Drosophila melanogaster: one gene and its partners. The protein of the gene in region 1 purifies or fractionates together with the protein of each later gene. This does not show direct contact. Each region holds a gene or a part of one and is shown in the gene's direction. Other genes may lie near its edges.

Region 1 (5,477 bases):
CATCCACTTGGCCAAGCAACCAGCCCAGCCACCGTCAACCTTCTGCCCCATCCCCATCCCCATCCCCATCCATATCCCCATCCGCATACCCATTCCCACAGCCCACTGCTCTGGCTCTTTGCCTTGTCGTAATTTTACTTGGATTTTTTTTGTTGTTCGTTCGTTCGTTTTCTTTTTCTTTTCCTTTCAGCGCGCTGCTTTCTGCTCTGCCTGCGACTCGGTTTCGAAATAAACTTTAATGCGAGCCATTCGTTCGGTTTTGGGGTCTCAGTTTCTGCTGCTCTGTTAAATTTTCTGGTTAAATTTTGTGCGCAGTCAGCTCGCGATGCAGTTCGAGGCGGTGACTCGATTGGTGCTGTTCGTGGGGTTAAAATTGCCCAACTTGCTGGAATTGGATGGTTCCGAGTTCTGGGGGTTAAATGCTGAGGGTTTCGAACTGCTTCTTTAAAGCGATTACAGTTGTACCAGTGTAATCTTTATAATGTCTAGAAATCATGTTATGAGTAAAGGTTTTAAGGCTATTAGGTATTTGGTGTAGTATTTGCTTAACAATATTGCAACTTATATATTTAAAAACAGGTAATAGATAATATATGATATATGATTAGGCAAAGACTTTACTACACGCATCACTGCGATCCCCTTGACTCAAAATTTTTTAGTCTTCTAGATGACTTTAATCCTTTGGCCACGGGGCTCGACTCCTTTTGCGCAGTCTCGCACTGAACAGCAAACAGTGCTATTGCCAGTGACCGCGGCAGCATTGCAAGTTGCCGGAATGCTGCTGCCGTTTATAGTTTAACTATAAGGCGCACATATGAATTTTGCCATCGCTCGCTTTTTGGCACGCAAACGCACACAGCACGGCAGAGCCAAAGAGCCGGCCAGGCCAACCCAGTCAGCCATCTAGCGAACGTCCTCGACAAGCCCAGTCAGCCAGGCCAACGCCAACGGCAACAGCAACAGCAACATCATCAGCAATAGCAACAACAGCAGCAGCAGCAGCAACCACTTCAGTACCTCCAACCCGCCAACCTCTATAGCCGTGCTACTATACAATCTGAAAATATAGAAAAAGCAGCGACATTTGGGACGTTCGCTCGTTCGTTCGTTGGTTCGCTGGTTCGTTTGCCTGGTACGTTCCGTCGTTCGTTTTTGTTGGTATCGCGGTGCGGAGCGTTCAGAGCCGGAGCCCCAAACACCAGATACAGATACGAGCGCACATGCTCGTGTATAGATACAGATACAGTGCCAGGCCGGGCAGCAACAACACAAACCTCCTATATGAGTGCGCCCCGTACATACATACATATATGTACGAATGTATATTTATATAGAGTCGCAGCAACACGCGCACTGGATTCAACGACGGGCACAATGCTCCGTGTTCGGTTTGGCTACGACTGCAGATATAGATACGGACGGAGGGCTAGAATACAAAAGTATGGGGTTGGATCTTGTTGGGCAAATGTTTTTTGGGGAACAATCATGAAGGAAATCTGGGTTTTCAAAAAGCGCGCCATTGAAATGAGTTAACTCTGATATAGGCTTAGGTGGTTTTTTTAAAATAACCCAATGTTTTCTATGCAAACACTTTAAAATCTATTTATTTTTGAGGTAGCAACTGAATATAAATATATAGGCATTGGGGGAAAAACTAAAATATTTTTGGGAATGTATAAAAAGATACAAACATTTGATTCACGGAATAAATATTCGAAAACAGAAATCTTATAGCAATAACGGCCCAATTTTCAAAAATTTAACTTCGATCCGATTGAAATAATATGTAACACGCCCATTTCAAAATTTCCTAGAATACAGTAAATTCTGCAGTAACATATCGCGATATGATTAATAAGTGGGAATCCACCGCGATATCTGCGCAGCATTATATCAGCTCCGCAGAATTGCTCGAGTGACGCAGATGGAGGGCAGTTAAGAGACTCTGGACGGCAATATGATTTTCTTGGGGCAGCTACATCGACGCGGACTGTGTGTCGTCATCCTCATCGCCTGAGCTGAATTTGAATGCAAACTCGAGAGTTGCAGAGAGCTCTTGCTGCAATTGCTGCTGCTGCTGCTGCTGCTGCTGCTGCTTGTGATGTTGTCGTTGCTGTTGATGCTGCAGCAATTGCAGCAGCATCGGCTCGAGAGCAATGCGAATATAAAAATGGTGATTCTGTTCTTCCGCTCCGTTTCGGGGACGCCTCTCGGGTGTCCAGGTTTTTATTAGCACCCGACTAACGGACACTTGTCCGCTCGCTCTTCTTCCTCAGCAACTGCAGCTCAAACAAAGCCGCCAGCCGGTAACTAATTTTCAAAAAAGCCAAGATGATGACTACTCGTGGTTGGAGCGAGCTTAAGCTGTCTTTCTTGCATCCTGTTCGAGGTTGTAAAGTTGAAATCTTTGTGCATTATATTTGCGTTATTGAGTGAATGTTTAGATGCACACTGTATACTATTTTTTTGATAGTATATTCTTGAATAAAAAACAAATTAAGGGGTTGGGGAACTAAAGTAAAATTTCTTATATTATGAAAAATGTAAACAATTTGCGTGCATACAAATTTAAATAAAGTTTATTTTTCTAAACATTATAATTGTACCGAAAACACTACATGTCCAGCTTATTCAACTTACATTGATATGAAATCATTGATATTTCTTCTTTTTCTTAACCCTTAGCTTATTTTAAATGAAATAAGTACTTAATTTATTAAGTATTTAATCAAAGAGGTCACAGTGGCGCCCTCAGCATTTGCTTATTGAGATGGTGAACTAATGGAAATTGCCTACTATCAGTTGTGCTTAGTGTGCGTCCACCTTTTGGTTGAAATAAGCAACTATACAATGTAGTATCATCGCCACCTTTGGCTGTTATTTTGAACTATACACAGCTGACCGCTAACGTCCTCTTTTGGCCTATGATTGAACTAGATAGTTTCTTTTGTATTCCGCAAGGGACAATATGCGGCGAATTCACTCCGTGTGGCGAATTCAATCTCCAAAAGCGGATTTATACACCAAAATTAATAAATAATAATAAAAAAACATTTTTTTTATATACTTGCGAGTAGCATTTCAAGTCAATATATAAAATAAGAAATAATGTTGATATGCGATATTTCGTATTAAAAACTATCGCGATAAAAGTTTACATATCGTAAATATCATCGATACATCGATATTTTATTAATACAATCAAGATGCAACACACAAGGCGCATGGTAAGTAATATTATTAAAAAGCCGGTAAATTGCAAAATACAATGAACAAACATGTTATTTTTTTTAGCTGAATCCTCTGTTGACCGGCCTGCGAAATTTGCCGGCACGCGGGGCAACAACAACAACGGCAGCGGCTCCCGCCAAAGTTGAAAAAAGTGAGTATTTCTTAGGTTTAGTTATGAAATTGAATTAATTTTGAATAAATAACCACAGCTGTCAACACGGTGACCATTTTGGGACGAGTTGGCGCCGATCCGCAGCTGCGTGGATCCCAGGAGCATCCGGTGGTCACCTTTTCGGTTGCTACACACACCAACTACAAGTAAGTGCATTTGTGTGCGTTTTGCCGCCCAGCATGCGTCTGCAACTGAACTTGAAATCACATCTCAGAGGAGGGAAATAAAAAAGCTACATAAATGTTGACAATTAAGTTAGTTCTTAGCCTTAACCTCCAAGAAAATATCACGTTGAGCTGCTAATTCAGATTTATGTAATGAGTTATTAGAACATTTGCTGTATGTAATTACCTAATGATAACGGCAATAGTGTACATTTCCTTGTTCAATTAACTTCAGTGATCAATTTCTTCTTAGGATCCATGAAATGCCGGATTTCATAAAGAAAATAGCTACCATTTCATTTAAAAAGCATTCATGAAGTCTTAAATATTTCCCCACAGATATGAGAACGGCGACTGGGCCCAACGCACCGACTGGCATCGTGTAGTGGTGTTCAAGCCCAATCTGCGTGACACCGTGCTGGAATACTTGAAGAAGGGACAGCGAACCATGGTGCAGGGAAAGATCACCTATGGAGAGATCACCGACCAGCAGGGCAACCAGAAGACTAGCACCAGTATCATAGCCGACGATGTGTTGTTTTTCCGTGATGCCAACAACTAAAATTTAAGCCCAGATCACCAAACCTAATCTTAAGCGAAAAGTTGAACTTGCAGCATTGTAAGCATTTATAATATTCGTTGGATATATTGTGTTATCAGATTACATGCGTAGTCGTACTCCACATGTGTCTTTTGGTTTTAACTCCTTGACCTTTTTGCATGGGAACGGTGCGTTGAATTGGCGTGCATGTTCGTTATAAAGCTGCTCGAACTCCTTTTGAACTTGTGTGACCTGGCTCTTCAATTTTTCGATATTTTTTTCCATAGACTCCAGTGTATTATTGTGGTAATCGATAAGCTTGGTTACCTGTTGATACACTCACTTTAGAAACTCTAAATACAACTTTTAGTCATCATTTCATACCAAATTTACGGAAGGTACTTTTGCGGATATCTGCTCATTATACGTCGCGACCTCCTCTTTGATCTGATTGCAATGATCGACTGTTTTTTTCGAAGACATCAGCATACTCAGCAAATCCTGATATGTGGTACTTGCCAAAGGAAACACTTGGCCTGCCAGACTCTCAGGACTCGGATAGCTCTGCTCCAATTTCGTAACTGCTTTCTCCGCCTGTATAAGGTTAATCTCGTTTTCATGCAGCTCCATTTCTACCCTAAGCATGGTGCACTTTACTGATCTCAGGGTATCATCGATGGGAAGTGCCTGTTGGAGTATGAAAAATTTATATCCTGTTTGCCTATGGCCATTGAGTCTCACATTTTTGGCATTGTCTAGGCAAATTTGTTCCTGTTCCTTAAGAAATTTTAACTTGGTATTGAAATCTGATTCCATTTCAAGGCTGTCCTGCATTAAAATATCCGCCAGCATATCCAAGTACAGGAATGTCGACGGATCTGATAAGTTTGGCTCACACATAATTTTAAAATTAACTTTAAATGAATTTTATGTATTTTTTGTATGTGTTTTTGTGACTTATGTTTTGTTTGTCACTGAGTGTTAGGCAAATCAAAGCTTGCTAAGGTATGAGTTTTCTGATCGTATTCTAATCTAAGGGATCCTTGCCAAGAGGCATCATTTATTTTCATACATCAAGGATTATAATGGTGATTACAGTTTTTGAAGCTCTTACCCTCGAGCAGAGTTTGCTCTTTAGTTCCCAACTTTGGAGACCTCCACAAGCTCTCTTCGCTCGCGAGCTTGGAGCGACCTTATCGCCATTTACCACTCAGTTTTCTCGCTGAGCGACACAGTTCGCAGTTAGTTTTTGCCAGTTCAAATGCTGCCGGCGGTCGGAAGAGTTGATAGCTGATCGAGCGCTCCGTTTGCGATTTTGTTTCACTCGAGCACGTTGTTTATCCCGGATTCGTTTTGCATCTTCGCG
Region 2 (6,670 bases), on another chromosome or scaffold:
TGGGTTGGGATGTGGATGTGGATGAGGACGTGGATGTAATTGTGGCTGCAATGGTGTAGGTGTGCGGGTCGGTAGTTGGTAGTTGCACAGAGGTGTACTTGGGTGCATTTACCATGGGCACACGGACCACTGTGCATCACGATTTATGCCCGGTGCTGCGGGGAGGACTGGGAATTAATTGGTAATGCGAGCAGTGCATCAGTATCAGTATCCGTATCAGTATCGGTTTTGGCTTTGCCTCGGCATCCGAATCGGGTCTGAAAATGGCGGACCGATCATCGATCGATCGATCGATGGATGGATGGATCGATCGATCGTTCTCTTGTCGTGGCCGCAATCAAAAGTCGTGCCGCCGCAATGAAATCGCTGAAATGGAGGTGGGTCGTCCGGCATTCCACCGCCGCAATTGGATAATGCACCTGATCGCCGCTTCCACTCCACTGCACTCCACTCCACGAAATTTACTGTTTGGCCAGCTCCTCCGAGGTGGCTTCGTGAGTGGCTCCGCGTACATAATGTGCATGTGCAGTCGGCGAGATCACGGTTTCACATCTCATTTCGCCCTGCCACAAATTCGGACTTAATGACTGCGTGCCCGATATACTTTTCCTCCGAGCTTCGCTCCTTCTTTCTCGGCTGAACTTTGCTCTGCTCCCCTGGCAACAGAAGATAGGAGCCCGAATCCATTTGAGTCACTTAGAAAGCTAATGGCATAATTCAATTGGGGCGGACAAACATTCAAAGCTCGGGTTGGGCAATCCGCCGAGTGATTCAATTTTCCACAGCCGCTAATCCTTGTCCCGCTTACTGGCGGATCTAATTGTGTAACCTGAAAACAAAGCAGGAATAAATGAAATGAATGTCTCTTGAGGATTGCGACGCTTACTTTCAGCTTTTCAGCGTGGTTAATAGAACAAGGAATTCAAATGATGGAGATTCATACAGAACACCACGTTGATACTAAAGATTTATTCCTGGTGCTCAAGACTTATCTAAGTCAGCGCCTTTTTAACCCAACTTTCACACTTTAACCAACTTTGTTGATTTCTATGGCCTACTAACACATGTAACTTATAAAAAGGTCTGCTGGTCTAAACGGTGGCAATGGTTGTATTTTATGTTAATTGATTAAACTTTTTTTGCAAAGTCCATATTTTTGGATAGTTTGACACAAAACAATATTGACGAATAAGAATTTTCAGTATGTTTCATTACCTTATTGCTATATTCATGAGTTTGAGTAATGAACTAAAGTTTGCAAAAAGTATTTCGATGCCTTAACAATATCATATAATCGATTTTCTTGCCATCCAAAATTTTTCCTTATTTTCATCTCTATTACTATATTTTTATGGCTTCGCATATGAAAAGTCGTTGACTTTTGTTATTATTATAATTGTTTCATGAAGTACTTATAAAAATCTAACAAATAATTGACTAATTAGTTAACTATCAATATTTAATTTTAAAAAACATCAGAATGGGTAACTTCTATAGCTCTGAAGTTAGTGAAACATAATAGTGTTCCTGATTTGAAGTTGTGAAGCACCTGTCCTTAAATTAATTTTCTGATTTGTTTCGATTTTTTTAATTATAATCGTTGTAAAACTAACTATACTATTTAGATAAAGGTTATTAAAGCGGGACACAAGTAAGAAGTTTGCTTGTTATAAGTTCATTGGCAAGCCAAAATAGTTTGTTTATAGTGAACCTTTAATTTTAAAGAGTGCTTTAATTGTCCTAAGTTCCTCTATCGTGTTATATATAAAAGGGAATTTGTAAATTAGAAATCTTTAAGCATGCGAAGTGGCCTGCTGTTGATTTTCCGTTTGTTTAATCGTTTACAAAAATTTTACCCTCAAATGTTCGAAAGCTACAGCCATAGAAAAAATAAAAATCTGCTATTTTCAGTTTGTTTTGATTATGGCGAGCAAGGACCCACACTCACGCCCTTACATATATGGGTAGATTTTTATGTAGAATATGTAAATCGGGCGGACAGCCTCTTTCACATGGCAACCCCCGAACGTTCGATAAGTACGTAGATACATACATACATAGGTGGGTCGCTTAATCCCCGAGAGAAGAAAGAACCCGGAGCACGTACCACTGGCGATTTGGGCGTCCAATGCCGGGGTTTTCCCAGTAGCAGCCCGGGCTCAGAGATCCAGCAACCCTCGGGGCACGGGTGCGTCGCCAACCCCGGCCATTCGCATGCGATTCCACCCCTATGTATTCGTATTCGTATCCGTATCGCACTCGCATCTCGCGAGCATCCGCATCTGGCAGTGTGGCTGTGTATCCGCATCTGTGTGTCTGTACGCGAGCTGCGCTGCCTGCCGCAGCCTCTGGGTTTTCGGTTTTCGGGCTCGGCCCATTGTCTAGTAGTCCGCTGGCGGGGCGTGGCTTCCGAAATATAAATGGCTGTGCTCTCTTTGGGCGGCGGGCTCTCTTCGGAAGCCGCTCTTCGATGCCCGAAAGCCAGAAAACCTGCTTGCCCGGCGTATCTGTGTGCGCCTCACACCCATACAGACGCGCGGCGCACGGGCATAGGCTTTGGGCACTTTTCCTATGTATTTCGCAGCTGTATGGGAGAAAAAACGGCAGCAGCCGCGGCAGCAGCAGCATCTGCAGCAGCAGCAGCAGCAGCCGCCGCCGCAGCAGCAGCGGCAACATCGCACATCCCCCGAAGGTTTTTGCGTCCAACCAGAAAATCCAACTTCAGTCGAGAACTACGTCTGGTGGCTGCGCAAAGGCGGAATTTCGATTGCGGGTCCTCGCTTAATTAACCAAACCAAACCAAACCGAACCGTACCGAACCAAAACCGTACCGAAACCGCTCCGTTCCGTTCCGAACCGATCCGCACCTAGCCGAACCGAAACGATCGTGGATCCGAACTGCAAATTAGTTCAAATACAATTAAATCACGTCTATTGTCCTTCAATCGGGGAGAGTGCAGTGTATATAGCGGCGGATACGGAACTCTAGCTCCAGCACCCACAGTTGCCTTAACCAGTGCCAAAAATCGATTTTCAATAAATACTTATTTAGTGATCGTACCTGTTTTGCATTGGCCCTGGCCCAAGTGTTCAAAAGAAAACCTATGCTCTCCAACTAGTTGATATCGCCGTCTAATTTGGATCAACATGCACATTCTACACCGCACCAACGACCATCAGTTCGAGGATCAGAAGTTCATGATGGTAAGCTGCGCGCCTTTTGCAGGATACTTCGATCGGAGGAGGGTCGGGTCTATCTATCCAAATTGTCTGTCAGCCGAAATCTGCCCAGGCTAATCCCCGCCCGAGCATCGGCGCAGCTTTAGCTACTCAAAATACTCAAAGATATTGAACCATCGAGTGCCCATGGGCGGACGAGCTTGATTGACACTGAAATTTCTTTGGGCATTTTGGGGCACGCAAGCCTTAAAACCATTGGCCAATTACGACCATTGGCCAGCGATCCGGACCGAGAGATCTGCGCCCGTGATTCACATTCACACACAAGCTGATTACCATTCCGGGCCATTCTAGCAGCAAAATCAATGAGCAATTTACAGTAATGGGTTCTCCTGCGACTCCGTGTGGCACACTCTGCTCTGGGAATAATAAGTACATAAACTTCAACCTGATTGTGCCCACTCCAAGAGTCCGGGGATCACTCAAGTGCCCAAGAGGGTGTGGGGCCCCGAAAGCAGACTGCGATCACAGGCGCATGCAATTCTCTTGTAATTAGAGGTCTTAAACCTTGAAAATGCATCTTCAAATTTAAATTGACTTTTTAAAGTAGGCAGTCTTAAACCTCAAGGAGTCTATTTAAAAATTTTATTAAAGTCAGGATCTAAAACCTGAATACAAACGGTGTTTGTTTATGGTAATCAGACATTCAAGAAGTCAGTTTGCTTTTTTTGTTATCCTAGTCGAGATGCATTGGACACAAATGGACCAAATCGAAATCAAATGTGCATATTCGTATTCAGATTAGGTAATGTTCGATCAGTATCAAAGTATTAATTTTAGTTTCCCAGTATCCTTATAGGTTTTCTTGGGCTGAAAACTCTTTACTAAATGCAATTCTCTATTCAAATATTATAGGGCGACAAGACTAAAGAATATAAAATCTTATTGAAAAAGCCAATGGGTCTGTTAACTTATTTTATTTACTTGTAATTGAGAAACATACCCTTAAAGGATGCAATGTTAGTTGCACTCATTTTTAATTTTATTCTGTTTTTTGAACGGGCAATTTGGAATCATTTATTTTTTAAGACGGCAAAAGTAGCCGTCGGAAAGACGAACCTTAAAACTGTAGCTAGCATATGTATATGTATGTGTATGAAGTCCACTGTTTTTAGAGTAATGATTCTTGAAATCTTTTTAATCTTCTTTTAAATTTCATATACAAATTTATCGTACAATATTTACAGTCTTTGATCGTTTATAATATCTATAACTGTAAATGTAAATCCAAGAGAGAAAGCCATGTTATGCTTTCTATGTTATTTCGATTAAAGTCTCTATAAGATTTGTACTCTTAGTATTAGTATTTGTATCATCAGACATAAGCCTCAAATTAAGCGGTTTGGCTGTTTCAAATATGTGCGTTATGGGAGGGAAACCGTATCTGAAAGTAAAAAAGGTCCTACATTTAATGCACTCACGATTTCGAGGCAGAGAGCAAAAAGTGACGGCGGTGGGAGTGATCAGACGTCAGTGGTCAAAATTCAAATGCGAATATGGAGGAATTCTTGAAATGCGTGGGTACACGCTCCCCCATTTAATTAGCGAAATTATATGGTGTTCTTGCTTCCAAGAACTTTTTCGATGCCCGATAAAAAAATAGGGCAATTTGCGGGGCAAGGGCCAAAGATCAAAACAAAAACACAGCGAAGAGGTAGACCAAAAGTCATCGCCCACAAAAATCCGAGTCCCGCCAGCAAAGTGGGCATGTCGAGTGTGTTGGCATTAGCTTTGGTTTTGGTTTGGTTTGGTTTGGCTGGTCCTGGTACTGGTCCTGGACCTGTCCCTGGCACTCCGAAGACTCCCAAATCAGGTAAGATCCCACTGGGACACTCGCGTGATGCGTTGCCAAAATAATTTATGAGATTGAAGCGCAACGCATCGTCAATTTGCGTGCGATCGCCAACTAAAAAAAGAATGCCATACAGACTGGCAGAAAAGTTCCCATAGCCCAGCTCCCAAATATCAAAAAGTATTCAGCATTGGGCTTATTTATTAGCCAAACTCCGTTTCATCCAAGAGGTTCGGGCTCAAAGCCTGATTGATGGCTTCCCTTATGATTTATTGAATAATTTCTTTATAATTTAGAATAATTGTTCCAATTTACAATGTGCACTTTGTAGGATTGCGAGGCATGTTGGTATGGTAATTGTGCGCAGGGCTAGGGATTGCATAAAGAAATGAATAAGCGCCATTAAACTTTCCCCCACTTCCAGATGCAGGAATACTATAGTCTTGATTAAAAGTAAATTATATAAATGGAACTAGAGGAAACTCGCAATAAGATGAATGAAACAATTTCGATAGGATCAGAGTGTAAGACCGATCCGTGTTCATATTTGCATATTCGCATATCATATTTATTATTTCGCCAGTGCGGGCGAGATAATTCCGAGTCCTTTGCATCCGCTGGAAGGCATTTCCGCTTCCACAGACATGCAGATACATCCTCGGAGGAAACTGGAATTGCATATGCACGCATCAAAATTGATTTCATTTGCGGAGAGGAAATTAAAAAGTCCAAACAAAACCAAATTGATTGGCAAGATAAATGTAAATGTTCATAACGTGGCCAAGATCCTCAGCACAATCCAGAATCAAGTGTCGGAACCTCGACGATGTGGACGGCGTGTGTTAGGCTCGTGGCAAACCAAAACCAAAACCAAAGCCGTGCAAAGCACCACATCCACATCCTCGTCCGATGCCAAAAGCCAAGGCAAGAGCGAAATCATCGGTTGGCCGACATGCGTTGGCCTTGCCTCCTCGGAGGCAGAATGTGGAGGATGGGGAGGCCAGACCTGCAGTTGGCTCACGAGGCTGCTGCATCGAAAGCCGGCCCTTTGGACGCAGATTGCAAACGGACGAGCCGAGCTTAGCTCAGTCGAGTTCGGAAGAAGCTACACAGGGAGAATCATTGGGTTGTGAGGAGCTCAAAAGGAGATCACAATGCCAGTGCATGTGGAGTTCTTGTAATCATAGTTTCCAATATTTCTTGTTTATCTTATAATAGTATAATATAGTATTAAAAAGCAATACATATATGTAAGTTTATCGCATGGTCATATTTCAATTTGCAGAACGAAGTAACCTTAGTCCTATGTATAATTAGTAGTGAATACTATATACGGAGATTCATGTAACATATCGTATAATTTGCATACTATACAGCAGCCCATAAACAAAGTGGTTCTCTTACAACACTCTCGACCTTTTCTCGCAGTGCACATGCATGGTCGCCAAGTGGGCACTTTCGGCTCGTCGTTCTTCTATTCGTCATCTGCACGCTAGAAGATGGGACGCAGCTTTTCGATTTTGGCCGAGCAGGCTCCGCAAATACCCAGCAGGTTTAATACATTTATGAATGGGTTTTACTACTTCATTAAGGGCTCCTCCGCTCTTCCGCGCATTTGAGGGCCAAGGAGCTGGAGCT
Region 3 (5,220 bases), 4.5 Mb from region 1:
GCTTCTGGGTTCCATTTCCAGCTTCACCGTTTCAATCATGGTCAGTGGGTCCACCGACTTTTTGCTCTCCATGTCCGTTTCGTCCGGTTCCGGTAGTTCGGAACAAGTGATAGTAACATCATTTTCGCCACAGTCCTCATCCTCAGTCTCCAGCTTGACTTCCACATGCTGCTCAGCACACAGCTCCATCGGCGCCTCCTGCAGACAGTCGGTTGACGTTGGAGCAGCACCGTTCTTTAGATGCTTCATTAGAAGTTCGTTGGCGGCCATCGCCTGCTTCACATAGCAATAGGCACCCATTAATTTTTTGGTGCATCCACTGCACAAGCATTGCGGAAATTTCTGACTACCAGTTGCATCCAGCTGAAAGGTAAATGTTTCATTTTAGTTTGCATTTTTCGTAGATTTCGCTTCTTAGAACTTTGTTTACATTGATTTCGGTTAGCTCGCATAAAATCTCCGAAAGCAACTTGTCCGGATACTTTTTCGAGGGCGTGGCCAGCTTCAGAAGGTTGTCGGTGTCCGTGGAGTCGCACGTGCGACAAATCACCGGCAGCTTCATGGCGAACAAATTTGTTTTGGCCAATTGAAAGCTTTTTTAATTTTAAATCAACAATCAGAAAATCAACATTATTGATGGTATGACCTTGATGCGAGAGATGGAAAATACCGTTCGGTCATTAAAAAAATACCACGTTGTTAAAAAATACAGCAATTAATTGGGTGCGTTCAGCAGAGTCCGCTAATTATTTTCAAAGGGAAATATTACACAAATATTTTTAAAATAAACTGAAGAAATTGTTAAATTATGAAAAATATAAATCAATATCCACCAGACAAACAATTAATACAAATATTACAGAACCATTAGAAACTGTGATTAAAAAATCACGACTTAAAATTTACTGCTGACGGTGACCAATTGTTGAATGTGAAATCAATAGTGCACTTTTATTACAATAAATCTACAATAGAGCGACGATAATTTGTTATTTAATCTAAATTGGAGCTTAAATTAGTTTGTGGCGTGTGCACGTTTAGCATACGCGAAATCCGGCAAACCGAAACAGAGCCTCGACCCGATTAGATCCAATCCTCTAGTATTTCTTGATCGTTTTCCGTATGAGGGCAAGGCGCTGTTTGTGCGCCTCCGTGACAGCTGCCCGCTTGTAGGGACGCAGTTCGTCCGTACCGAAGCCGGGTATCCACATGTTGTACTTCCGCTCAAAGTGCAGCTGCACGTCGCGCACCTCGATCTTGTTAGACTTTCGGTGCTTGGCGAAGGCGCTCGTCGACTTGACGGTGTCCTCGACAAAGTCGTCGATGATCTGAAGCAGAAGCTCCTCAACATCCTCGTCCAGCTGCGTGGTGGTATCCACCTCTCGGACGAGCTCTGTGAGACGCGGTTTGGTAAGCATCTGTAATTCGGAAGAGAGTTAAACTAGACCCTGGCGTATTCCGTGTGCACTCCATAAGGCACGCATCTTACGGGAGTGTTCTCGGAACCGGCGGCGGATGATGTGTGATTGGATGACTTGCTACCACCAGATATGGGGCCCGTTCCCGTACCCAAACCGGAAACCGGTCCGCCGTTCTGCGAGGATGAGTTGCTGTTGTTGGTCATCGGACTGTGCTGGGAGGGCGAGGCCATGGGTGGGTCGTGGAGCAGTCCGCTGGCGGACGATGTGGAGTTGTGGTTGTGGTGCAGGTGGTGCTCGGCGACGCCGTTGCTATCGAAAGTGGTAAAGAGATCCGACATTGCTTTTGGGTTTCTTCAGAGTCAAATCAAGTGGGTGGTAGGTCGGTTGGTTGGAAGTGTTTGGGGAAAGTACAGTAAGTTGGGCGGATTTTTGGGGAGTGGGTAAGAGTGCAGAACCAAAGCCAAAAGCGTTAGTGTACTTGTTGTTGTTGCTGCTTATGTTGTGTGTCCTCCTGCTTTCTCAACTGCAGTCGGTGATTGTGTGTGCGTGGGTGTTTGGTTGCAAAGCGAAATGTAAGTAAAAGAATAGAGTGGTCAATTTCACGCGTGCGGTCTTAAGAATCCGTCGCTTTGTGTGTTTACTAAAACTAAAGTGTTACTTAGCAGTTGCTCTTAGCGCATGCAACACTTACAATTATTGCGGTTTTAACACTTTGATCTTAAACTATTACTTTCCTAAATTACTAAACAAAATAAAAATAAGCGGAGCAACTACAGCCAAATCAACAGTATGGCCAGTTGCAGGCGACTCTGAAATGCCCGCTGGTGCTATAAAGCAATTTGGTATATTTACGTTTAATTTCAGTATATTTTAGTTAGACAGCCACACTGGCGTGGAGTTCAAAACAAAACAAAGACGGCGTATTTTGCAAATATCACGTAGATAAGGAATATATTTTACTTTGTAATTGGGAACAATAGCTGCGCAAAAGAAACATGTCAGCGAGCGAAGAAACAATAGCGGACAGTCAGGTCTCCGAGAATGTGGAGGATGTGGAATTCGTAGACATGGCGTTCACAAAGGAGTTGCGTAAAGCCACAAAAGATGTGCATAATCTTACTGATGTTCTAGTGAATGCAAAGATCGCACTTGGTTCGTTAATTACACGATATTATTAGAAGTTATTAGATATTCCTCTTCTTCCATAGCCCTTTCTGATGACGAGGTCTGGTATGATGGACTCCTGGCCTTCTACGAACTGTACAAATTCTTTGAGACCCATCTGCCGGAGCGCCTGCTGCCCAAAGAATTCCACAGAACAGCGGCATTTGAAAGGGATTTTGCCTATTTCTACGGTTCCGATTGGAGGAAGGACTACGAAATTCGCCCGGCGGTCCAGAAATATCTCGAGCATCTGGAAAAGATTGCCGCACAGAACGAACTCTTGCTGTTCGCCTACTCCTATCAGATGTACATGGCTTTGATGTCCGGCGGACAAATGTTGCAGAAGAAGCGTATGATCGCTCGTAAAATGTGGATCTTTTCAAAGAACGATGACGAGGAGCAGCAGAAGCAGGCCGACAAGGAGGCAGAGTTGGCCACCGCCAGAGCTGCCGATGGCTCTGTAGACAAAGACGACTTGGAGGCCAGGCCAATGCCTGCCCAGGTTACCATTTGCCCGCCGGGATGTGAGGCCACATATTTTCCTGAGAAGGTGCGTAGCTTTTTACTTTGTTCCTTATATCTATTGTCTTTATATCCACTTTCAGATCTCTGTCTTAAAGGCCAAACTAAGGCGCGTTTTCAACAATCACTACGGAGCTTTTGACGATGATTTGCGTGCTGCTTTTATTGAGGAAAGTCGCAACGTATTTCGCTTAAATATAGAAGTAGTACGGACCATCAAAGGTGTGAATCGTGCCAATCTTAGGAAGCTGGCCCTCGCACTAATCTTTGTTTCAAGTATTGTAGTGGCCGTGAAATTTGCTCTCAAGTAAGAAAAGTAGGAAATACAAATGTAAGCTCTCTTGAGCAAGTTAGAATTGTGATCACACATTTATTTAGTCGTTTGTTAAATAGTAAATAACCTGAAATTTGTCTGAAGTAAAGTATTTATTGGGAATGTCCGTTGGCAAAATTATCAAGCAGTCCTCGTCTATTTATCCATGGCATGACACGCTCTATATTGGCCCTATAACGTTCGTTGCTAAACATTGCCTCCCTCAGGGATTTGCCATTCTCTTCATTTCCCAAAAAGCTATCAGTGGTAAAGTCATCGGTTGTCTTGTTAAGACACATCGACAAGGTAGTGAGCACAGTTCCAGCAGCTTGAAGAAAAACATGTCAGTCAGAGGAATTTAAAAACCTCAAATCCTTCTGTAAATTACCAAAAATGGGGTGCTGTATCAGAATGGCGTGCAGTTCCTTTAGCGAGGGAATAAATCCGTTGTAGTTCAACAGCTTGGCGTGCTCCTTCATGTTTTGATGATACCATCGGATAAGGTAGTCAAACTGATCGACTTTGATGTCCAGTTGAGTGGAGCTCATTATGAAGTAATACAGATCCTGGGCAGGATTTCCATACTTCGTGACTTGGTGATCCAACAGGAGGGTTTCCTTGACGCGACCATCTGATTCGTATTGGAACATGATGTTATTTATCCAGGCATCACCATGATTGAGCACATTAAACGCTTGTTCATTTATTTTGGCATCTTCAAGTATTCTGTCGACATACGTATCCAAGATCTCTGGCTGCAAAATATGATTTTGTTAAGTTAGTTACAAGGAATAAAGTAAAGTGACTTACCATTTTGTGCAAGTACTCATCCACACCGTCAAACTTGCTCACTTCTTCTATAAAGGATTTCTTAGTGTTAACAAACATACCCTTAAATATAGGTGCCGTTTGCTCTGTAAAAATGCCATTATTGTATTTGGGCGAATAGGGTCCATTTAGTTCCTTGTACTTCAGAGAGGCTGCATGCCACTGGGCCAATTTCTTTAACGTGCACTTGGAATGCTCCAAGTCCATTCCAATCATGCGATCGACCATCTTGAAGCCACTCGGCTGCAGGTTCTCCAAAAGCAGGTACTCCTTGCTGACGTCCTTGCTGAGCCGGAAGGACTTCGGACTAAAAGTGACTGGTAGGCCAACATCCTTATAGAAACGCTCGAAGGCGGGCACATATGTGCTGTAAACCTCTATCTCTTTTGGAAACAGGTTAAAGTCGGAGAAGTTGATTGCGTCATTGTCGCTGTGGACTTTCAGGATGTACGAGAAGGTCTTCACGCTATTGTCTGTAGATGTGAGAAGATTGGTTATAATATTAAATATTTCAGAATTTAAAGTAGTTTACCTTTTAACTGCGCCTCGATTTCGACCTTCAGCAGCTTGGAAGCAAAGTTGTCGCCAGGTTTCGTCGCCAACTTTGAAGTACTGCTTAAGATCTTTTCGAAATTTGGTTCCGCGGATAAAATGATTTCCTTGAAATCGTCAATATTTAGCCAGTCCGGGATCTGATCCGTATTCTCCGGCTGTGGCTGCTGTGGCTTCAAAGCTGCCAGCAGTTCGGGTGGCAATGGGTCAGTGCTAGATAAGTATTATAAGTGATATTCATCTTTCGCTAAAATGTAACTTCGAATATATTTACCTGACCTCCAAGAAGCCTCTATTATCCAACCAAGGCAGAATGCGTTCGATGTATTCTTGACAACGTTTGTTGGCATACAAACTACCCCTGAAACTAACCCCATCAGCAGAGTCCGACATAAAATTATCGAATGTGGCCGACTGAGT
Region 4 (6,218 bases), on another chromosome or scaffold:
ATATTTAAATTATGTGCGAAAAAGTAGGTCGATTCAATAGGCGAGAAAACATTGCGAAAAACAAGGCTTTGATTGATTACACGTCCAGTTAGTTGCTGATAGAGCGGTTACAGATACTTCCGATAGTTGCGCAGATGGGCGTTCGCGTCCTCGACCACGCCCACCGCAGCAGCGGCACTCTCGAAGGATGGTGGCTCGATGACCATGCCGGGACTTGTCGGATCGCAAGACGCTCCAACGGCGCTATTTGGCCCCTTGGCTCGTCGCCTGCCACGTGTTCCCGCTCCCCGCGATCTGCGGCTGTTGGCCGAAGCTCCCGATGCTCCTCCTCCGCCGCCGGATCCCGAAACTCCCGCTAAGCCTGCTCCCAGGCTGCCGCTTAGGATGCCTCCGCTGGAGATTGGTCCTCCATTGCTGCCTGGCACACTCTCGCCAGATTCAATGGCCTCCAGCGATGCGTCCAGCGCCGCATCCGTCGTTGTGATACGCGACCTGGCCGCTGCACTGCGTCTCCGCGAGCTGGAGCTACCGCCGGAATTGCCGCCACCGCCGGCGCCTCCTCCACCACCACCGCCGCCGGAATCTCCACCTCGCTTGCCTGGTCGCCGCTTGCGCCTTTTTTTGTTACCATAGCGCGGATCATAATCGTACTCATCATCCGCCGGCGATTTGGGCTCCTCCAGCGAGTCCACATCGTTCATATCCATGTCATCGTAGAACCACTCCTTGGGCAAAAGCTCCTCTTTGACGGCCTGCTGCTGGTGCTGGTGCTGCTGATGTTGTTGCTGTTGACTGTCCTTGCTGTCGGATGTATCACCGCCGGCGGCACCCAGCGAGCTGGACTCCTCCAGGCTGAAGGCTCCATTAAAATCGTGGGCAGTGTCACTGTGCAGGGAACCAAGTACGGCCGGCGCGGCTCCGCCGCCCGTAAGCATATTGAGCGTTAGGGAGGAGCTGCTGGCCAGGCTATTGCTGCCGGGCATGGAGCCCACACCGCTGGTCAGGCTGCTCAGTCCCAGATTGACGCCGCTGGCCACCAGAGCTTCGTGCTCCTTGCGTAGCGCCTGGAAGGGACGCTCGGGAAAGCGGCTGTATAAGTGGAAAGTTCGTTATTAGCAGGGATAAATATGGAGCTCACCCAACGAAAAATGTAGGATTTGATGAGATTGAATGGCATATACACAGATGATATTCTTCTAACCTAACTCGTTTTAAATAAGATTACCATAGGTAACAGACTCCTAGATTTCCAAGCTCTAATTTGCTTCGCCAGAGTTATACCTAACTTTTCCTTGTGCATGTGCCAGTCACTCAAATCCCGCACCGATTGGTTACGATTCCTCACCTGTACATCTTGCTCAAGTACTGACGACGGCTCTTCCGCCAGCGGGCCGCCGGATACGTGTAGATCTGGCCCTGCCGGAAGCCGGGCATCCGCTGTCGCTTGTCCAGGAAGAGCTGCGAGTGGTTCTGGGCGACGCCTGTCTGCGGATCGAGGAAGGGCAGCCGGTGGCGCCGTTCGCTGCACAGGCGCGTGTTGAAGTTGGCACTGTACTCGATCGTCTCCCGGTAGCTGACATCCTTCAGGAAGCTCTCGATCTTGGCCAGATTCGGCATAGAGACGATCTGGATGTTAACGGCGGAGGACATGGCTGTTCCTGGTCCTAATCCCACTGTTGGCTAACCTCAGAGTCCGGCTGTGCCGCTAATCCATCCCAGAGTCTTGGCAATTTCCGCTCCGCTCCGCCCCGTTTCTTATCGCAATTTTTTTCCAGTGTGTTGTGTTCCGTTTCTTATCGCTTTTCGCTGCCTGTTTTTTTTATTCTTCTTCGTCTTCCACCTCTCCTCTCGACCGACACATACACGCACGCACACACACACACACGCAAAGCTCTCTATCGATGTGACCCCGCGCCAGGGGGCGTGGGCGGCAGTGGGCGTGGCGAGGGCGATACGTTTAGATCGCGATCTGCGGCCGGATTTTCCAATTGTTTAATTGATCAGAAATATTAACGTCGTTTTCACTGCTCTGCTGAATGCCAGTGTTACCAGATGGCGACATGATTTTCCCCCCAAATGTTCTCGACCGACCGGTATTTTTGTCCTAAAAAATCCACTCTTTCGCTTTAATTTTAGCGATCAGTTTTCTTACCAATTTAAGGGCCTGTATAGGTCTGTTAGTTAATTTATGCATTGCAGTGCATAGCTATGTAATGGTATTTTCTAGTTTTAATTACAAGCCTATGTTACAGGGTTTTTGGTTAGTTTTCAAACATCGATAAGTTGTAAGCCAATCGATTGCCGGGCCCACGGTCATACAATAGAGATGGGCAACTGGCGATAATGCCTACCTACCTGTTACGCCAATTTCAAAATAGTAGTTTGTTATCTGGATCGGCACAGGCGACAAAAAAAACTAATATGTTTATATATACGTTATATATGGCTTTGGAAATAAATTACACAATCATATTGGTCAATCATTGTTTCAGCGCACGATGAGGAACTAAAATCTTCAAATTTAAAAGTACAAATTAAGATAAGTCATAGACTGCACAAATAAATAATTAGCAATTAATAAAATAGCTAAAAGAATATTGCACAGGGCAGCAGAGTGTTAACGATTTTCTTATCGATTCTCCTGTCAGCTGGCAACGCCAAAACAAAACAAAAACAAAATTAAAAGAGAAATCAAAACAAGGCAACCCGGTCATTGAAATTTCAGAAAATACTGCTTTGTTTGCGTTAACGGGAATGCTTTTTGCCCCGTAGATATGTATATATCACATAGAGGCACGGCTCACAGAGAACACCCACCAATCCAAACCATTTACATTTACCACTTAGATTAGCTGGTCTCGCAAACAACGGATAAGACTGTATATCAGCTGTACGTACGTACGGCTATTTGGTGATAAAACCGGCGCTATAGTTCCACTGCCACAAAGTAACAAAGAGAAGACTGAGCCGAACAACCTGCCATTTTGATACCGACGCCCCACCGAGATTAAAGCCCACTTTTCCGGATCCCATTCGCAGTTGTCCCACAACCTCAAGGCACTACAAATCGCAACAATAGCCAAATAAGTATAGGATTCCGACGATGTGCGTGATATTCTTTTGTGCGGACTCGAATCCGCAACCGGGTGGCTACAAGCTCATCCTGGCCTCCAATCGGGACGAGTTCTTTGCCCGCGCCACCCTATCGGCAGCCAAGTGGGCGAATGCCGATCATGTTTACGGAGGTAAGTGGTGGGGCTTATGCCCTTGAATGCCTATGCTTAGATGGAGTATAATCCTTGAGAGCTTGTATTCATCAAGATGTTACCTATAGTTTAGTCACTAAGATGATTTGATAGCAGTTTGTTAGAATGAACACCTCTCACAAGATCTGTTTCCCAGCAACCTAATTGGATTTCAAGCCATCTTACCCATGAGTGCGGGATCAACTTGAGTAAATATTTATGTATTCCCCCATTTCAGGGATCGATCTGGAGCCGGGACGCGAGGGCGGCACCTGGCTGGCGATCGGCCACTCCGCTGGCTTCTTTAAGGTGGGCGCCCTGCTCAATCTGACCGGCGAGCCCAAGCCACGCGATGCAGTTGGTAAACCCATTTGAGCTACTTACTAATCCAAATTGACGCGCACACACACGCACACACACTCATCCATACACCTAACACTTGGCCCGAACTAAAACTTTCACAACCGCGACCAAAGAAAAAGCAAAGCAAAAACAAACTTTCTTCGTTTCTGTTTTCTGTTTGAAGCGCACAAAAACATTTTGCAACCGCATAATCACAACAGCAACAGCACCGGCATTAACCTTTGCCCCAAGACCACCACCTCCAACAGCTACCGTCATCCGAATCCGAATCCAATTCAGAACCCGAATACGAATCCGAGTAGGGGGCAATCGAATAACGAACATTTCTTACTAGGGCGCGGCATGATTGTGGCGGACTATGTTACCCGGGCGGACGAGGAGCACAGCATCCTGAACTACAACGAAAGGCTGCTCAAAGATTGCACCAAGTATTCTGCCTTCAACTTTGTGTCCATCGAAATTGGGTGAGTCTGCGCCCATTCAGGTTAACCTGAATTATTATATATTCTAATTATATGCATATTAGTATGTACATATATTGCTTTATGCTGTCTTTATCTCCGAATTATACGTATAAATTCTGAATAATATGCAATAACATTAGGGAACCATTAGCGAAACATTGATACCATCTACTGCACGCCTTCGTTCTCAACAGATCTGCATCCCAGCCCGCTCGCGTGAAGCTGCTGAGCAATGTGCCGCCCACGCTGGAGGATTTCCAGAACGGCGAGTGCTACGGATTTGGCAACAGTCTGCCGCACTCTCCGTTCGAGAAGGTGCGTCATGGCAAACAGGAGTTCGAGGCGATCGTTAAGGCTCATGGGGAAGCCAGCGTGGAGACTCTGTCCGCCCAGCTGATGCAGTTGCTCCGCAACAAGCACAAATTCTGGCCGGACGACGAGCTAAAGACACGTGCGCCCAACTGGGGCGAGGGATTGAGTTCCCTAAACGTCCATATCGAAGAGCATGCCTATGGCAGCCGTACACACTCCGTTGTCCTGGTGGACAGCGAGAATAAGATGCACTTCATTGAGGAGACAATGACTGGATTGGATCCGCACGGCGAATGGAACAAGACCCACATTGAAAAGGATTTTCAAAACGGCGTTTGACCACGGACAGGATGACGCAACTTCTTGACGCAACTATCTCGTTCGAAGACTTTCCTCTTTTGTAGAATAACCTAATTGGCTAATATTCTACCAATCTGTATTTTGACTCTGGCATTTGCGATAATAAATAGTCATATTTACTATATCTTTAAAGAACATAAAGCTTGTGTGGATTTAATCTAACGTTACTGCTCTTCTTTCTGCCACGCATCGAACTATGTTGCTTTCAAAATTCTTTATTCAAAGTCTTTGCAGATCAAAACAAAAAAAAAAAAAAATACATAACTATTCTGTTTCTGTTTTTCTTTATCTGTGGCATTTACAACGTCTCCACATGTTCATATATATATATTAAGTTATATTTATATATTTAAGCAAAGTAACAGGGGAAATAATCATCAACGTCTTAGCTTCCTTATCAACAGACCGCACTATCCCAGTGTTATTATACATCTCTATATCTCTATAGCTTTACGAGCCTGTTAGCCAGTTGGCTTGAATCGTCTGCCCTATTTGTATTTCTTGGACACCCGGCCACCGCCGGCTCCTCCATTTTCAGCGCCAGCTCCTCGCAATACGCTCTTGAATTTTCGCGAATTCATTGAACGTTTTCTGGGGGCGAAAGAGATGGAGTATTAGATAGGGACGGGTATATTAATAATATTAAACATTTTGGATACACACCTCTTGTTCAGGTTATTCCTAGTGAGTGGTATATACGCATATGGATCCAGTTTTCCGCTCTTCTTCATATCACCCTTGGCCTTCTTGCTGCCGTACTCACTGCCCGCTGGGCGGCTGGTGGATTTGCCTGACTTCACGGACATGGCATCCGAGTTTCCAGCTGTCAGCTGTCGATGAATGCCCTTGCCACCGGCAGTGTAGCGACTACTGGCAGTGGTTTTGCCCGATTTCATGCTCATCGCATCATCACCCTTGCGTACACGCTTGGGTACTAGCTTCTGCTGCAGTTTATCTTCGTCGCTCGAATCGTCTTCCATGCCACGCTTAACCTTGGGCTGCTTGGCTACAGTGCCATACGCCATGGATGCATCGGAATCCGAGTCGTCATCGGACTGATCGTTACCGCCCTGGCCACGAAGTGCCTTGTCGCTGATGATCAGGCGTCCATCGTCGGCAGTCTTGAAGCCACCGTTCGGCAGCTGAGCTTTCGTCTTTTGACTCTGGGCAGGGGTGGCCGTTTGAGCGGAGCCACTGGCTGGAGTGGGGCAAAGGCAAAGAAACAAAAAAAGTGATGATTTGTGCGATTTTCAAACGACTTCAACTTACTCAGCACATTGCCAATGGACTTGAGATCGGCCAAATCGACTATCTCATCGGGATCCTCGCGAATGTAAGTGCTCTTCTGTTGCTTAGCATTCTTGCTACGCTTGCTAGCTGCGGCTGCAGCTCCGGCCTCATCCTTAGCGTCCATATCTTCGGGCAGATCCGAATCGGAGTCAGCTAGCATATCATCAATGCTGTGGAAGGGATT

The links.
Region 2: the proteins of mtSSB (region 1) and TfAP-2 purify together in Drosophila melanogaster (affinity purification with mass spectrometry, with the first as the bait; one large-scale study listed by BioGRID). This does not show direct contact.
Region 3: the proteins of mtSSB (region 1) and Ho purify together in Drosophila melanogaster (affinity purification with mass spectrometry, with the first as the bait; one large-scale study listed by BioGRID). This does not show direct contact.
Region 4: the proteins of mtSSB (region 1) and Tango2 purify together in Drosophila melanogaster (affinity purification with mass spectrometry, with the first as the bait; one large-scale study listed by BioGRID). This does not show direct contact.

The regions. Positions count from the first base shown.
Region 1 is NT_033777.3:16,202,969-16,208,445, reverse strand, and holds mtSSB (mitochondrial single stranded DNA-binding protein), read left to right. Parts: upstream 1-3,195; 5' UTR 3,196-3,209; coding exon 3,210-3,230; intron 3,231-3,297; coding exon 3,298-3,385; intron 3,386-3,443; coding exon 3,444-3,552; exon of another isoform or gene 3,553-3,702; intron 3,703-3,757; exon of another isoform or gene 3,758-3,909; coding exon 3,910-4,132; 3' UTR 4,133-4,231; downstream 4,232-5,477. Other genes in the region: CG31287 (uncharacterized protein), read right to left, coding at 4,232-4,438, 4,496-4,798, 4,853-5,011. UniProt on the Drosophila melanogaster protein: Binds preferentially and cooperatively to pyrimidine rich single-stranded DNA (ss-DNA).
Region 2 is NT_037436.4:21,596,135-21,602,804, forward strand, and holds the start of TfAP-2 (transcription factor AP-2), read left to right. Parts: upstream 1-2,721; 5' UTR 2,722-3,147; coding exon 3,148-3,204; intron 3,205-6,670.
Region 3 is NT_033777.3:11,677,455-11,682,674, forward strand, and holds Ho (heme oxygenase), read left to right. Parts: upstream 1-2,288; 5' UTR 2,289-2,416; coding exon 2,417-2,573; intron 2,574-2,629; coding exon 2,630-3,135; intron 3,136-3,190; coding exon 3,191-3,418; 3' UTR 3,419-3,522; downstream 3,523-5,220. Other genes in the region: CG18476 (uncharacterized protein), read right to left, coding at 1-363, 431-562; Taf12 (TBP-associated factor 12), read right to left, coding at 1,098-1,418, 1,490-1,759; CG6830 (uncharacterized protein), read right to left, coding at 3,534-3,748, 3,809-4,175, 4,231-4,721, 4,781-5,013, 5,075-5,220.
Region 4 is NC_004354.4:13,614,331-13,620,548, forward strand, and holds Tango2 (transport and golgi organization 2), read left to right. Parts: upstream 1-2,658; 5' UTR 2,659-3,103; coding exon 3,104-3,245; intron 3,246-3,483; coding exon 3,484-3,606; intron 3,607-3,771; coding exon 3,772-4,072; intron 4,073-4,266; coding exon 4,267-4,723; 3' UTR 4,724-4,877; downstream 4,878-6,218. Other genes in the region: tth (toothrin), read right to left, coding at 108-1,089, 1,346-1,650; CG2691 (uncharacterized protein), read right to left, coding at 5,233-5,335, 5,408-5,942, 6,014-6,204. UniProt on the Drosophila melanogaster protein: May play a role in Golgi organization.